Linked DNA regions of Xenopus tropicalis. Each later gene encodes a partner of the first gene's protein in a complex. Links are inferred from orthologs where the notes say so. Each region holds a gene or a part of one and is shown on either strand. Other genes may lie near its edges.

Evidence for each region.
Region 2: the proteins of rasip1 (region 1) and rap1b are in contact, whole or in part, in a crystal structure (PDB 5KHO), measured with the Homo sapiens proteins. The link is inferred for Xenopus tropicalis from reciprocal best matches to the Homo sapiens genes RASIP1 and RAP1B. Residues at the interface, in NP_060275.2 of Homo sapiens: Val147, Lys149, Ala156, Ser157, Gly158, Ala159, Asn160, Tyr161, Lys162, Ser163, Val164, Leu165, Glu181, Arg182; in NP_001010942.1 of Homo sapiens: Val24, Gln25, Asp33, Pro34, Thr35, Ile36, Glu37, Asp38, Ser39, Tyr40, Arg41, Glu54, Leu56, Phe64.

Annotation. Positions count from the first base shown.
Region 1 is NC_030683.2:105,701,785-105,709,183, forward strand, and holds part of rasip1 (ras-interacting protein 1), read right to left. Parts: intron 4,597-7,399; coding exon 4,013-4,596; intron 1-4,012. UniProt on the Homo sapiens protein: Required for the proper formation of vascular structures that develop via both vasculogenesis and angiogenesis.
Region 2 is NC_030679.2:58,773,628-58,781,678, forward strand, and holds the start of rap1b (ras-related protein Rap-1b precursor), read left to right. Parts: upstream 1-3,091; 5' UTR 3,092-3,177; intron 3,178-8,051. UniProt on the Homo sapiens protein: GTP-binding protein that possesses intrinsic GTPase activity. Contributes to the polarizing activity of KRIT1 and CDH5 in the establishment and maintenance of correct endothelial cell polarity and vascular lumen.

The DNA.
Region 1 (7,399 bases):
CGAGAGCCAGATGCAACCATCAAAAGAGCCACATCTGGCTCCCCAGCCATAGGTTCCCTACCCCTGCTATAGGAGATGACCTTACCGTAATTCTGAACTTTCTGGATAATGGATTTCTGGATAACGGGTTTGATACCTGTACCCCCTATTGCAAGAATATTTATTAAGGAGTTCCTTTACTAAATAAAGGCCCAAGGCTAAAGGCTAGGGATGCACCGAACCCAGTTTTTTAGGTTCAGCCAAATCCACCCTGATGGATTTGGGCTAATAATGAACCGAATCCTAATTAACGAATCCTGGATTTGGCTAATACCGAACCGAATCCTGGATTTGGTGCATCCCTACTAAAGGCAGAGCGCTTTCATGGAAAACCTCATATTTTACAACAGGGGGTACATAATTTGCTATAATACAAAAGTTTTAGTCATGTGACAGAAATTAATCACAAAGTGCCAATCATAACTCATGACATCATTAAGCAGTGTTTATAAAGATACAATTTACAGGATGTTCAGGGCTCTTGTGTATTACAAGTATACTACAAGTCACTGGGGAGTTCCATGACCATACAAGGTGTTTTTATACAGGTCATCCAACTTCAAATATCCTCATGTTTTACGAAAGGGGTTCATTATTTATCATAATATACAGGTGTCGGTGAGTCATGTGACAGAAATTACATCACTAAGCACCAATTATAACTGATGACATCACTAAGCACTGTTTATAAGAATATAATTTACAAGATATTCAAGGCTCTTCTGTATTATAGTTATCCACTCTTACCTTACAGGATATAGGACTTCACTGTATTGCTATTAAAAAAAACGCAATGCCAAATCGCAATAATTATTAGTTGATCTAACTTTCTACAACAAACTGGTCCCACATATATGAGGAATTACCCTAGTATTTCTCAGAAATCTCACTCGCAGTTTTGCTGAGTAATTTCATGAGCAATTTCCTCAATGGACAATCTCTGCATGAACGTTTGCCAGCTATTCTCCTCTCCAACAATAAGAGCTGAAATTAGCATCAAGAGGCACAGGAAAGGCTGCCTTCTGGGTACGGGGGGAGGTGATACAACGTTATATGTGTACTTTATCCATGCATTAGATAGGCATGTTTGTAGGGAGGTTTCAAAGCAGAAGAAAAGTGTCATTAGAGTAATAAAGAAGATGATTAGCAAAGTATTTAGAGATATGAAGTTTTCATGTAAGATGGGACATTGCTGAAAAGTTATTTATAAGGCTGAGATATGAGTTTACCCCACTGAGTGTGGATCTGGGGTAGTGATATGCCAAAGAGTGCAGCAGAGGATGAATATAGGGGTTGAGTAAGAGTGAGTGAGAAACAAGGCTCTAATGCTCCAATAAATGTCTTAAAGGGACACTGACATGAAAAAACTACTTTTTAAATTATGAATCTACATAAAAAGTTCCCTATAGGTCATGTTGATAATTTTTTGCTGATAGGGCTGCTTTGGTAAGTAATTGTTACGTGAAGTTCCTAAACCTGACTATTTTGCCAACCTGACTGTCCCTTCTCAGCCTGTCAGTTATAGCTTCTAATGCTAACAGCCTCCTGCAGCACAAATATGGCCGCCCCCTCATAAAGGAACACGGGGGATCAGATAAGTAATGGAAACGCATTGGGGAAATACTTTTATGGCAAAACTATAAATAGCATGCAAAGACAATGTTATGAAAGATGTAAAAAATTTTCATTTCTAGTGTCAGTATCTCTTTAATGTTTCATCTTCAAAAGAGGTGAAAAACATGGCTAGATCTACGCAATATTAGAATATCTAAAAAAAAAAGTGGGAGAAGAGACCTTGCTGAATGGTTAATCTGGTCCAAATCAAGGTGTGGAGCCTTCAATCTAAACACAATTGTGCTGAGAGATTACGGAACTCCTTCTGGACCATACCTCATGCTGGAATCATTTCCTTTTTAGTGTAAGGCAACTGTTCTTTTCCTGGAAAGGAACTGCTCACAGCATGACGTATGGGCTAAAAAATGCCATGCCATTCTGCGCAAAAGCTATGACATCACTCAATAGGTGGGGTGTTACACACATTCTAAGATCCACTGAACTGATTTGGGTCTGCCTTCACAATAACAGCTAATGGTCAAGAATAGGATACAAATCAAATACCAACTAGGAAATAGCCAAGTAGACTTTAGGACTAATAGCTTTTAACAAGGAATAAACTGTGGGCGCCTTAACTCCCATCACACCCTGCTGACTGTGATCTTGACCCATGCTTTACCGACTGGATGATATAGAAATGACATAGTATGGGGGCGTCCTTATAACAGGCACCTTTTCTCTGCTTTAGAGCTAATAATGTAGCATGCCTTGTGTTCCCTGGCCCAGACATGGCCCTTCAAGCAATTTTAATGGCCAAGTTGAAATGCTCAGATTATTCTTTGTGCAACATCAATATTTTAATATAATGTGGCCCAATATGTGGTGTGGGAATTAACTAACCAAATGCTTAGTGACTGGGCTCATTGGGGAGTGTCTAACATTAACACCCCTCAGTGAATTTGGCTTTCCTTGTTCTTTAAGGGTTTCCATTGGGTGGTTTCCCAATGTGGTTTAGGCTTAGCATAATCTCAAATAATTTTCCCAGTGGAAAGTTAAAAAAAGTTATTACAGGGTGTTTATTAGAGAGAGTTATCATTTTAGATGATACTCTGTAACTAAGGACTGATAGTGGATGAGAACAAGGGTGGTGCGTTGTTACACAGTAGCCCAGGCCAGTGCATTTTTATCCTAAAAGGAGTAACCACCCAGGGGAAAAAGTTTAATTCACTGATGAGAACATCACATATTGGCAACCCCCAGCAAATTGTCCATTACAGTGTCATAAACACTAACTCTAACACCTTTTAGAAACAAAAACTTTACTATTAATTAAAGAGGCATTCATTGTAATTCAATGGCTATATAACATAAACAAGTGCAAATTCAAATATGATTTATGGCCCTGAAACTTTGAATAATTGAAACTTAGAATGAGATTTAAGTGCTAATGAAGGCTTCTGCCATTGCCATTAATAACGGAAATCCAAGTTGGATTCTGTTGAAGTCCCATGCAGCAGACCCTGAGGCTGCAGTGGGGCCTGGGCTTCCAGGGTCTGTAGTATGGTATTCCCCATCCCCAGCCTCTTTTTCTCCTCTTTTTCTCCTCTTCTCCTCCTTTGCCCGTTGCAAATGAGTGATCAGCTCAGCTATCATGTTGTCTAAACAATGGTCTACATGGCATAGTGTGTTTAATAGAGATTAAGGGCAATGGTGTGATTTCCAATTCTATTGGTGGCAAAATTTCTCTTCCATTGATCATGATCCTGCTGCTGCCCCCATGGAGCAGGTGATTATTGCTCCTAAACATGAGCAGAGTACAGGTCATTTGCAGGTTTTTTTTATGCCTGCCACCAAGCTGGAAATAGTGAAGGGTAAACCCAGACAAATGCGCTGTAATGCAAGCAGTAACACAAGCATTCGGATGAATGTGCAATGAACCCAAACATTTAATAAATCTTCATTCCCTAAATATAACTTTGGCTCAGTTTTGTGCAATAATAACGTAGGAAAAAGAAAGGCATGTAATCTCAATCACTTTCTAGCATTTTCTTTTAAAGGATAAGTATTACCTATTCCAACCTTACAGCTGTCCTGGCGTGAAGGGGTGGATCTGAGGTTTCTTTGAGATGACTCATTCATAAGTTATTGCTGTTGCAAGAAAGTATTAATAGCTTTGTCGCTTGTAGTGTTTCAGCGTTTAGGTTAGGAAATAAACCTGAATCAAATGCATTACAACTGCCACATTAAACCATTTCTAAAATATATCTACACTGTGCCTTGTGAAAGCATTCAGCCCCACCCAACTCTCTCATTTCACTGAATAATAAATCCTACACTGAAATGTAGTAGCTAGATGCATCTGTAGGTACAGTGATTTTATTTTATTTATTTATATTTTGTTAATAAAAGCCCAACCAACCTGCCGTTTCATTATCCTCAGCCATGGTCATCTTCTCCACCTCTTGCTTGCGCCTGATTTCAAAGCGCCGAGAGAACCCAGTTTTGGGCTTCCACATTTCTTGCAATACTAGAGGACGTTCATTGTCCCCAACAACGCGCAGGTACTCCATCTTCCATTCCCCTTCAAGCCCCACAAAGCGCCCCACCACATCGCACAGGACAAAGACTTCTGTTTCGGAATCGGCCACTGCATATCTCTCTAGGGCCTCTTTCACTAGTTCCTCTGCAGAGGAACGTGGCGTAGCCAAAACACTCTTATAGTTAGTCCCAGAAGAAATATCATCTCCAAATATTTTCAGGATACCAGGTAAGTTTTTTTGACTGGACAGCTCCACCAAGTCCTCTGGTACTGTGTCGATAATTTCCGACAATTTCTTTTCACTGACCCAGCGTCCCGTCCCGCTACTGATGCTGCCAGCAATGCTATTGGTGCTGCGGTGGAAAAGGTTGGACAGGCGCTTGTGGCGGTTATTTTTGTTCTTTGTGGGTTGACGCAGTTCCACAGTCTCATTGTTGCGGCTAGTTGTGTCTGAAGATGTAGACCTGTAAGAAAGGGAGCTGGAGTCAATCACGGACTGAAGGTGAAAAATAATGGACTAAAATGTGACAAATTATTTGCACTATAAAAGGCTACATTTCCTCCATTGTATATGCACAATACATGAGAAATAACACACAACTTTAACATTTTTGTGCCATTGTCCTTCAAAATCTGTAATGAAAGCTCAATAGCATGGAAATTCGTGCATTTCGTGCAATTAGACAACATGAAAGGCCACATTGCACTGATCCACAACCTCATATTATTTTCAAATGGTCAGGACCTGACATGTGCAATGTGTGCTACTGCTCAATAAATATTGCATATCCTCACCATAGGGTTGATTCACTAAAGTGCGATAACGCATATCGCATGCTTTTTTTGCGTTAAAATTGACGCATGCGTTAAGTTGCATATTGCATGCGTTAATTTTACCGCATTGCGTTAATTAGTGCGCAGAAATAACACTAACGCATGATTCACAAACACTTAAATATCGCATTACTTTATGTGAAAATTAACACCTACTTGGGGCAGGCGGTAATTATAGAAAAGTACAGTTAATGAGCTTTTGGCAAAACAATATGGACTTTGCAGTGGGATTTATTCAAGTCTGTGTTGGCCCTAGAGTGACGCAGCCTCCATTTTGCAGGGAAATGTTAATTTTTAAAAAAAAAGTAGTTTTCCTAACATAATGGTGTATACGGCTAATATGGCGTGCGCGCCATAACTAGCGCACGTACGTTAATTAGCATGCGTTGCGTCGAATACCGCACGAAAATAGTCTTCGCGACTTAAATAACGCAAACAGCATCGTGTATAAATTAACGCAAATATACTTTTAGTGAATCGTGCATTAAGACGCGAAAAATTAGACGCAATAAAATTTTTACCGCATGCTATAAATAGCACTCGAAATATCGACCTTTAGTGAATCAACCCTCATGTCTTTTATAGCGCAAGAGACTGTAAGTTCTTATCTAGATGCCATTGGTGCCAGCATGTGGTGAACAGAACATCACCAATCAGAAATCTAGTTTAAAGGGGTGGTTCAACTTTAAGTTAACTTTATGTATGTTATATAATGTCCTATTCCTAGCAACTTTGCCATTGGTCTTCATTATTCTTTTTTTTTTTTTTTTTATAGTTTTCTTAAGTTATTTACCTTTCTTTTTTGCTTTCAAATGGGGGTCACCGACCCCAGCAGCCAAAAACTATTCCTCTGTGAGGCTACAATTTTATTGTTATTGTTACTTTTTATTTCTTATCTCCCTATTTCAGTGCTCCACAACCCATGGCTTATGTGCAACATGTTGCTCACCACCCCTTTTAATGTTGCTCCCAGTGGCATCAAAGCAGGTGCCCATTTTTAAATCTCTGATTTGGAGGAAAGATTTGGAATTTCATAGACACAGTTTTACTCCAAGCAGAGCCCCCTGCAGGCCAGCAGGCCAGCAGCCCACATAGGGCTACCAAATAGCCAATCACAGCCCTTATTTAGAACCCTAAAGGAACGTTTTTCATGCTTTTGTAGCTCTCCAACACTTTACATCTGCGTGTGGCTTTTGAGTAAAAAAGGTTGTGGATACCCGAGAACCTAAGTAGTCCTTTGCCTATTCATATTCCAGTCTCTTATTCAAATCACAGCCTGGATGCTAGGGTAAATAAGACCCTAGCAACCAGATAGCTGTTGAAATACCAAACTGGGAGAGCTGCCTAACTAAAAGCTAAATAACTGAAAAACCACAAAAAATGAGGACCAATAGCAAATTGTTTCAGAATATCAACATCTACATCATACTAAAATTTTAAGTAAAGGTGAAACATGTTTTATTTATAGTTTATAGCTTTTTATCATACGGTATTACACAGATTTAGTTGTTTAGTTGCTCTCCCTAAATATTAGATTACTGATCTCTTGGGTCACTTGGTGTAATTGCTTAATGGAATTGCTGCCCTGTAATCCAATAATCAATGACCAAATACATGTACCAATAGGGTCATCAGATTTCCCAGTTTCCCCTTTTGTCCAATAAACATTTTTACAATTGCAATAGAATTTGATGATCACACTGTTATGTTTATTAATGACCCCATTGTATGAAGTGACAAGCCCATGTTATGTCAGCTTTAGCCCCCCAATCTATATATTTCTATATTAGAAACCAGTGCAGGTATTGCTGAATTCCAGCACTATAACAGACCGTAGATGTGAGTATGAATGAGCAGCCGTGTTTTGTATTATTATACTTCTGCATTACATCAACTGCATCTGATTTCTTTGAAGTTGAATAAAAAAAACCTATTCTATTCCACAGGGATGCGCTTATTTCCATTCTACAGAAGGATTTTGTTATTTAGCTGCAACAGCATTCGTAGCCCGGGCTGCAGGGGACTGTTTAGACAGTCTTTGTTGTATAACCATGCTATGCAAACATCTATCCCATCAGCCATTTGTTCCAGAATGTTCCTTAGAACTACTGAACTCTTTTATATTGTCAGCCCTTTGGAATGTTCCTGTTGCTACACCTGGTAGTGTCTGGTAGCACACGGGTGGTAAAGAACTTACCAAACACTATGAACAAATCTCTGTGTTTATGGCTGAACAGCTGACAAAAGACATTTCAGCTGAAACCTGATTTCCTATCCAGCAACTGACGGGACCCCTAATATGCATGTTAGTTCCATGCCAAAACTCAGAAATGACTAAGGCTCACAAATATTCCAAAGCCCCATTAAAGAATATTCTTATTTACAGGCCCGGACTGGCAATCTGTGGTTTCTGGCAAATGCCAGAGGGGCTGC
Region 2 (8,051 bases), on another chromosome or scaffold:
GTAAACAAAGGTCCAGGGCCAGATGGGATTCATCCCAGGGTATTAAATGAGCTGAGCGCTGTGATTGCCAAACCTCTTCACTTAATTTTTCAGGATTCATTGAGGTCTGGCATGGTGCCGAGAGATTGGCGGATTGCTAATGTGGTGCCGTTATTTAAAAAGGGATCCCGTTCTCAGCCTGAAAACTATAGGCCTGTTAGTCTGACATCAGTAGTAGGAAAAATTTTGGAAGAGGTAATAAGGGATAGGATAGTTGAATACATTGCAGTTCACAATACTATTAGTTTGTGCCAGCATGGTTTTATGCGTAACAGATCTTGCCAGACTAATTTAGTCGCCTTTTATGAGGAGGTGAGTAGGAACCTCGATGCTGGAATGGCAGTTGATGTCATCTACTTGGACTTTGCTAAAGCGTTTGATACAGTACCTCACAGAAGGTTAATGATCAAATTAAGGAATATTGGCCTAGAACATAATATTTGTAATTGGATAGAGAACTGGCTGAAGGATAGATTACAAAGAGTGGTTGTAAATGGAACATTTTCTAATTGGACCAGTGTGGTTAGTGGAGTACCGCAGGGGTCAGTCCTTGGTCCTTTGCTTTTTAACTTGTTTATTAATGACCTGGAGGAGGGCATAGAGAGTACTGTTTCTATTTTTGCTGATGACACAAAATTGTGCAAAACTATAAGTTCCATGCAGGATGCTGCCGCTTTGCAGAGCAATTTGACAAAATTAGAAAACTGGGCAGCAAACTGGAAAATGAGGTTCAATGTTAATAAGTGCAAAGTTATGCATTTTGGTAGGAATAATATAAACGCAAACTATCTACTGAATGGTAGTGTGTTGGGGGTTTCCTTAATGGAGAAGGATCTAGGGGTTTTTGTTGATAACAAGTTGTCTAATTCCAGGCAGTGTAATTCTGTGGCTACTAAAGCAAATAAAGTGCTGTCTTAAAAAAGGGCATTGACTCAAGGGATAAGAACATAATTTTGCCCCTTTATAGGTCCCTGGTAAGGCCTCACCTTGAGTATGCAGTGCAGTTTTGGGCTCCAGTCCTTAAGAAGGATATTAATGAGCTGGAGAGAGTGCAGAGACGTGCAACTAAACTGGTAAAGGGGATGGAAGATTTAAACTATGAGGTGAGACTGTCGAGGTTGAGGTTGTTTTCTCTGGAAAAGAGGCGCTTGCAAGGGGACATGATTACTCTGTACAAGTACATTAGAGGGGATTATAGGCAGATGGGGGGTGTTCTTTTTTCCCATAAAAACAATCAACGCACCAGAGGTCACCCCTTTAGATTAGAGGAACGGAGCTTCCATTTGAAGCAGTGTAGGTGGTTTTTCACGGTGAGGGCAGTGAGGTTGTGGAATGCCCTTCCTAGTGATGTGGTAATGGCAGATTCTGTTAATGCCTTTAAGAGGGGCCTGGATGAGTTCTTGAACAATCAGAATATCCAAGGCTATTGTGATACTAATATCTACAGTTAGTACTAGTGGTTGTATATATAGTTTATGTATGTGAGTGTATAGATTGGTAGGTGTGGGTTGTGTGTGCTGGGTTTACTTGGATGGGTTGAACTTGATGGACACTGGTCTTTTTTCAACCCTATGTAACTATGTAACTAAATAAATGCAACAAATATAGACACATTGTATACAATATGCTATAGATCTGCCACTGGCACCAGAGGATCACATCAGCGAATGTTGGTGGCCCATCCTGAAGGAAAGAATTTAAGGATTTAACATAAACGAATGTAAAGTATATATCATGAACATATTTCATAGTTAATAAAAACAAAAAAACATAATATTAACAGGCACTCACACATGCATAAAAAATTTCCGCAATTTTTTTTTTTACCTTAAAGGAAACATATCCTATAAAAATGATGAATGTACCAGTAAATTATACTGCTCTAGATATAGAAGGAATGTGCTGAAAAAAGTTGTGTTTCAGACTGATTTATTGAGAAATTCCACCAAAACCCCACTAGTCCCGTCCATCCGCTCCACTTCCTGCTGGCTGAATTCTCTGGATAAGCTGGCGGATCTCAGTACACTACAGAGGATAGGAACCAATCAGCAGCTAGGCTGACCTGATAGGGAACTGAAGCCTGTCTGTGCTTGTGTGACTGCAGGGCTGTGATTGGCTATGCCCCCTCCTACTGTGCTTCTGGCAGGGACCGTTAGGAGAAGGGATAGGATCTATAGGGAGCTCCAATAAAGGGGCCATTATTACAGATAGGATTAATGTTTAGCCCAAAGGGAAACCAGCACCATATATTATTCATAATTGCCTACAAAATTAGGGTTTTTCCCATATATCCAATATGTCTCCTTTAAATTTAGGTAACGCCTGAGTTACACAGGTATGGTTCCAACTGTTCTTCCTTTTGTTACCCTATATCCCATCTGGTTAGGGACAGTGGTGTAATTTGATGTTACTGGGCCCCAGCACAGTGGTAATAAGACATTTCTAATAACCAGCTCATCGGTAAGTGCCCCAGCAATTGTACATTCGGCTTCCACTGTAATTACACCCCCGGTCATGCTATACAGGCGCTCACAGCAGCTTCACACAAACATAATCCCGATAGTAGCTCGTTTATACAGAGTGGGTGTGGCATATCATACCCCTATACAGCCGATCGTGTCGCATTGATAAACAACCAGCAAAGCGTCCCTGCGTATTACTTGTAATTTAAGTCTACAATTATATCTGAAAACCATGTGTCTAATTTTCATATATTTATCGTACCTATAGAAATATAATCTAGTGTTTAGAAGCAGAACATGTTCCCCTTATTAACAGAGCACAAATCAGCTTCTAAATGTAACTGTTTATAGCCTTCGTTGGAGCCCATCAATCCTTTGGCCACAACAGGTTGCACAGCGGCCACATCGGGCAGCCAAAGGTTTGTCGGTGGGACTCGGGTAAGAGAAGCCATGATGCGCGTGCCCGTGCCAGGGAAGGGCCAGGTCAGCGCTTAGCTGGAAGGCGCCGGGAGCGCGTACGGCGGAGAGCGAGAGCGGCGCAGTGACGTCACGGGCGAGCTGGGAGCCTCACCCAGGCTGGGTTGGTGGCGCTGTGTGTCCCGAGCAGAGGAGGACAAGCGGGCGGCAGGGGATCCCAGGCAGAGCCGGGGCCCATCCAGGAGAAGGAGGACAGCGGGTCAGTGATACTGGGAAATTAACTTAGGCACTAGGGCTTGTGTAAACGAAAGGCTGGGCGAGGGTTGGATGACCGGCCGGAAGAGGGGCAAGGAGTCAGGGCCCGGCCCAAGCAGCAGTTCTACCGAGGCCGGCTGGGTGCTAGATATTCCCGGATAATGGCGGAAAATTCTCATTGGCTAGTCGAGGGCAGTGTAGAGTAGGCACTGTGATGCGGACTTGCCGCTTGGTGGACCTTGGGCGTGCAGGCGGACTTGTGGCAGTGTCCAGAATGCACATGGAAGTGATAATAGCTTGTCACAGCACCCATATCCGCAAGTTAAATACCGATCCTAATGTGATAAACTACAACTCCCAGCATACTCTCAGTGGAACGGGGTTGGCGTTCAGAAATAGCCGCAGGCAGACAGATCTTGGTTTAGTGTGTCACAGTGATTGCTCCTTGATCAACATGCCTTCTTGGAAATATTATAAAATGCCTTTTATGGCAGAAAACTGGGATTCCTATTATGTCCTACCAATTTACAGCATATTACCATGAATGTATACCTTGAATGTGTTCATTTAGTGAAGAACAGGGGTGGAGGTTTGCAGGCTGTTTGCCAAACTTTGCTTTGTCCACTGTATGAGTTACAGCTAGCGCTGACAATGGGGCTTCATGTGCCTTTACCGTTGGATGTTGGTTATGGGTGACCCTAATAAGGGACTGGCTAATCTAATAGCTGTGCCACATCTTAACATCCTGTTTAGATCCCACACATAAGTGTGTGTGTTCTTTTGGGTGTGGGGGGTGGCAGGGTGGTGACAAAGATTTTTTTTTTTTACCTCATCCATCAGTAGATATGACAGTTGTGTTCAGCTATTGAACATACTGCCCACACTAAACTGCAACTAACATTCTTGAACAGCAGAAGAATTTTTGGTTCTTGTAGTTTAACCAGAGATGTAGGTTACGTGTTGAACATTCCTAATAAATGCACACTTGAAATGTTATTACTTTTTGTTAATAGCCTTAAGTTAATACTGTGTTTAAGCTAAACTCTTTATGAATGTGGTGAACAGGATTAAGCCCCCACCTAAATCTTTCGTAAGGAAAGATAGCAGTAGTCACATCAGAACAGCCCTTTTGTGGTCTGTATGGGGAAGGAAAAATGCTGTTTTCTGTTCCTATAAACTGGCCACTAAGCGAGTTGAGTAATATCTCTTGTATAGAGAGTGATCCATTTGTAAATCACCCCACAGATGAAACTAACAAAATGGGCCTTGGGGTGTGGCTTTGTATTGCTGTTGCAAGGAAAGGGTTAAGTTGACTGGTTAGCTCAATAGGGCAGGCTTGCAAAGTGTTGGGCAGCTAGTTATATCAGGAAGTAGTATCTCACTTGTCATGTTTATGTCCACATATTATTTTAAACTGTTTAGTTATATCCCTTATTAATGCTGATATAAATGAGACACTGCATTACACCATTTCCAAAGCTTAAAAGGGTGGTTCACCTTTAAGTTAACTTTAAGTATGTTATAGAAAGCCAATTCTAAGCAACTTTTCAATCAGTCTACATTATTTATTTGTTATTGTTTTTTAATTATTTGCCGCCTTCTAACTCTTTGCAGCTTTTGAATGGGGGTCACTGATCCTGGTGGGCAAAAAACTATTACTTTGTGAGGCTGCAGTTAATTGTAATTGTTAATTTATATTACATATCTTTCAATTCAGGTCCTCTCCTATAAATATATCAGTCTCTCATTCAAACCACTTCCTGGTTGCTAAGGTAATTTGGACCCTAGCAACCAGCTGTTGAAACTCCAAACTGGAGAACTGCTGAATGAAAAATTGAAATAATTAAAAAACTAAATAATAAAAAATGAAGACCAAATGCAAATTGTCTCAGAATATTACTCTCTACACAATACAAAAAGTTACCTAAAAGGTAAACAACCCCTTTAAGTAAAGCAACATATGCAGAAAAAACAGCATGTGGAAGTGTGAAAGCAAGTAAAGTCAAAACTTGTGAAAGGGAATGTAATAAGATGGCTTTATTGATTTAGCTCTCTTGCCTGAGAAGTAAAGAGAGAACATCAGATTAGCATTATGGTTGCTTCCTGTTGTGCACTACCGGTTCATGAAGCCTTCAAGTTGTGATGTGAGTTACCAACCGATAAAGCATTTCTGTAATTGTTGCCACAATTTAATGTTTGTGCCTATTTTATCTAGTGACAACTGCTATTAAAATCATTTAAAGTGACAATTACCTTAAAAAAAAAAAAAAAAAACACCTTCAGAACTCCACGTTACTGCTCATCATCCCAAGCTGTTTCTAGCCAGGGAGAACCACAGATAAATGGAAAGAGCTCATTGACTTTTTTTGTGCGATACCACCCTACAACATTTATTAAAGAGCAGAAAACAAAAGCACTCTTTGCTCTTCAATAAATGTTGTAGGGTGGTTTCCTACAAAAATAAACCCATGTGTCCTTTCACTTTAATCATGGAGCTTTATATAAAGACATTGAGGCATTACTGTTCATGCGCATTTTAAAAATGTCAGTATGGAATAATTTCCTTTGGGTAATAGTCATTTTTTGTGTTGTTTGATTGCTAGGCAGTAGTATATGGTGGAGGTCCCAAACTTGTGTACCACATTCAGATGTAAAAAGAGCCAGGGAGCAACACAAGCATGAAAATGTTCTGGGGGTTGCCAAATAAGGTCTGTGATTGCCTATTTGGTAACCCCTGTGTAGACTGTCATCCTACAGGAGGGTTTGTTTGGCATTACACATGGCTTTGAGGCCACTGGGAGTAACATTCATAGGGTTGGTGAGCAACATGTTGCTTGCAAGCCATTGGTTGAGGATTACTGCCATATGATACCTGGTAATGTGGCAATAATTAACAACTTAGTGTGTTAGAATGTTAGTTATGTAAAATACACAGCTTTATTTATTTTTTTTTATAACATTTTTGACATACTGCCTTTGCACTGCCCTAATTTTATAGGAAGTAGCTATAACCTACCAATAGTGACTGCTAACCTGGATGAAATCGTTCTTTGGAAGTCTTTCTGTGTTTTAGTCTTTTGATACAGCCATTTCATTCTATGCTGATTATATCTATTTTGACATTTGTCAAAGGATGTTGAGGATTATCTCAAACACTAGTGATTTAGAGAAATGTTGAGAGAGATTAGAGAAGTGTTGTTTTTTTCAGCAATGTTTAAAACATGCTTTATGACAAACTTCAGTAAGGTGTAGTAAGCTGTAAATTTCACTTCAACCACTTGGATTATTTCCATTAGTCTTAAAGAAAAAATATTGTATATATCTATATATGGGTCTATTTTCTTGCTAAATTATGTAGATTACTCCAGTCATTTAGCCTTTCTTTGATGTAATTTGCTGGAGGTCAGTGTTTTTATGATATCTGTGAAATGGATTCAGTGGTTGCTCCAAAGATAAATGGCATTGGAGGCCCTGCATTAATCAAAAAAGTATAAGGAAGACACTCAGTGCTCAGTAACTTAGGTGTTAGTGTTATTAGCAAGTATTCCAGATATTCCACTGTATGGACCAGGCTTCATAGCAATGATCAGTACATTAGACATTGACTTTAGGCATACTGTCGGCCATCCTTGTCACTCTTTATGTGCACCAAAACACAAATGAACCGATTTTTAATTTTATCTTATTGTATACACTTACATCCAGATCTGTATTTTAGCACAGCTATTACACTGTTTTTGTTTTAAAGGAGAAAAGGCTTAGTCACTTGGGGGTGCCAAAATGTTATGCACCCCCAATTGACTTAAATCGCTTACCTTTTTCCCGGGGCTGGTGCCCCTGTTAGGAGAGAACAGCACCAGCCCGGGGGACCTGCGAGCGTTTCCTTCTTCCTGTTTCTCGCGCTTGGGCATGCGCAGTAGAGTGAAAAGCCAAACTTTAACAAGAAAGTCGGCTTTTCACTCTTAATACGCATGCGCCGGCAGAAGAAAGAGGAAGAAGGAAACGCTCGATCAAGGTACCCACGGGCTGGTGCTGTTTTCTCCTAACAGGGGCACCAGCACAGGGTACAAGGTAAGCGATTAAAGTCACTTGGGGTGCCTAACATTTTGGCATCCCCAAGTGACTTAGCCTTTCCTTCTCCTTTAAATGCAACATGCTTTTATGTGTTCAGTGCTTGTTCATAGTGCAACAAAACAGTGCAATGCTTTACTTTACAAAAATCCCCATAGTTGTATATTTTTAAATGCATGTAACGGGATGACAGGATGTCAAAATATATGTATTTTTACATCCCGTGCTTGCATTTTTAGATACACACCTCCTGTGTAAAAGCACTAGGTGAGCAATGTCTAAGAAAACTTTGGTTTGTTGTCCTCTGACACCCTTATTTTTATATATATATTATATATATGGTAGCTAATGCGCTAATAATGTTGATGATCCTAGCAACTAGGCAGCTGTTTGAATGTCAGATTTAAAGAAAGGCTTGCCTCAGTCTTTCTCATTGCTGTAAACATTGATTTATGCAGTTAACAGTTCCCAAGAGATTATAATAAGAAGCCTATTCAAAATTTCTAGAAAAAATCTAACTTGTATAAATTACTCTTGTTTTGGAATTAACCCACAGCTATACCCAGATAGGGTAGCCGCAGACCGCCCGCCTGGTTGGTGAATCAGACACTTCTACCTGAAACCTGATCGCTTTGCGGGTGTTCTGCGGGTGCCCAACCTGCTGCAGGTCTCTACTGTGTAACCTACAGCCTACAGCCTCTTTTAAGGAGTGACCAGCCTGATGTGGAATATGAGCATCTAGAGTTAGTAATAGAAAGTGTTTTAAAAGAAAACAGTCACATACAAAGCTGATGATTTGTGGCTAAA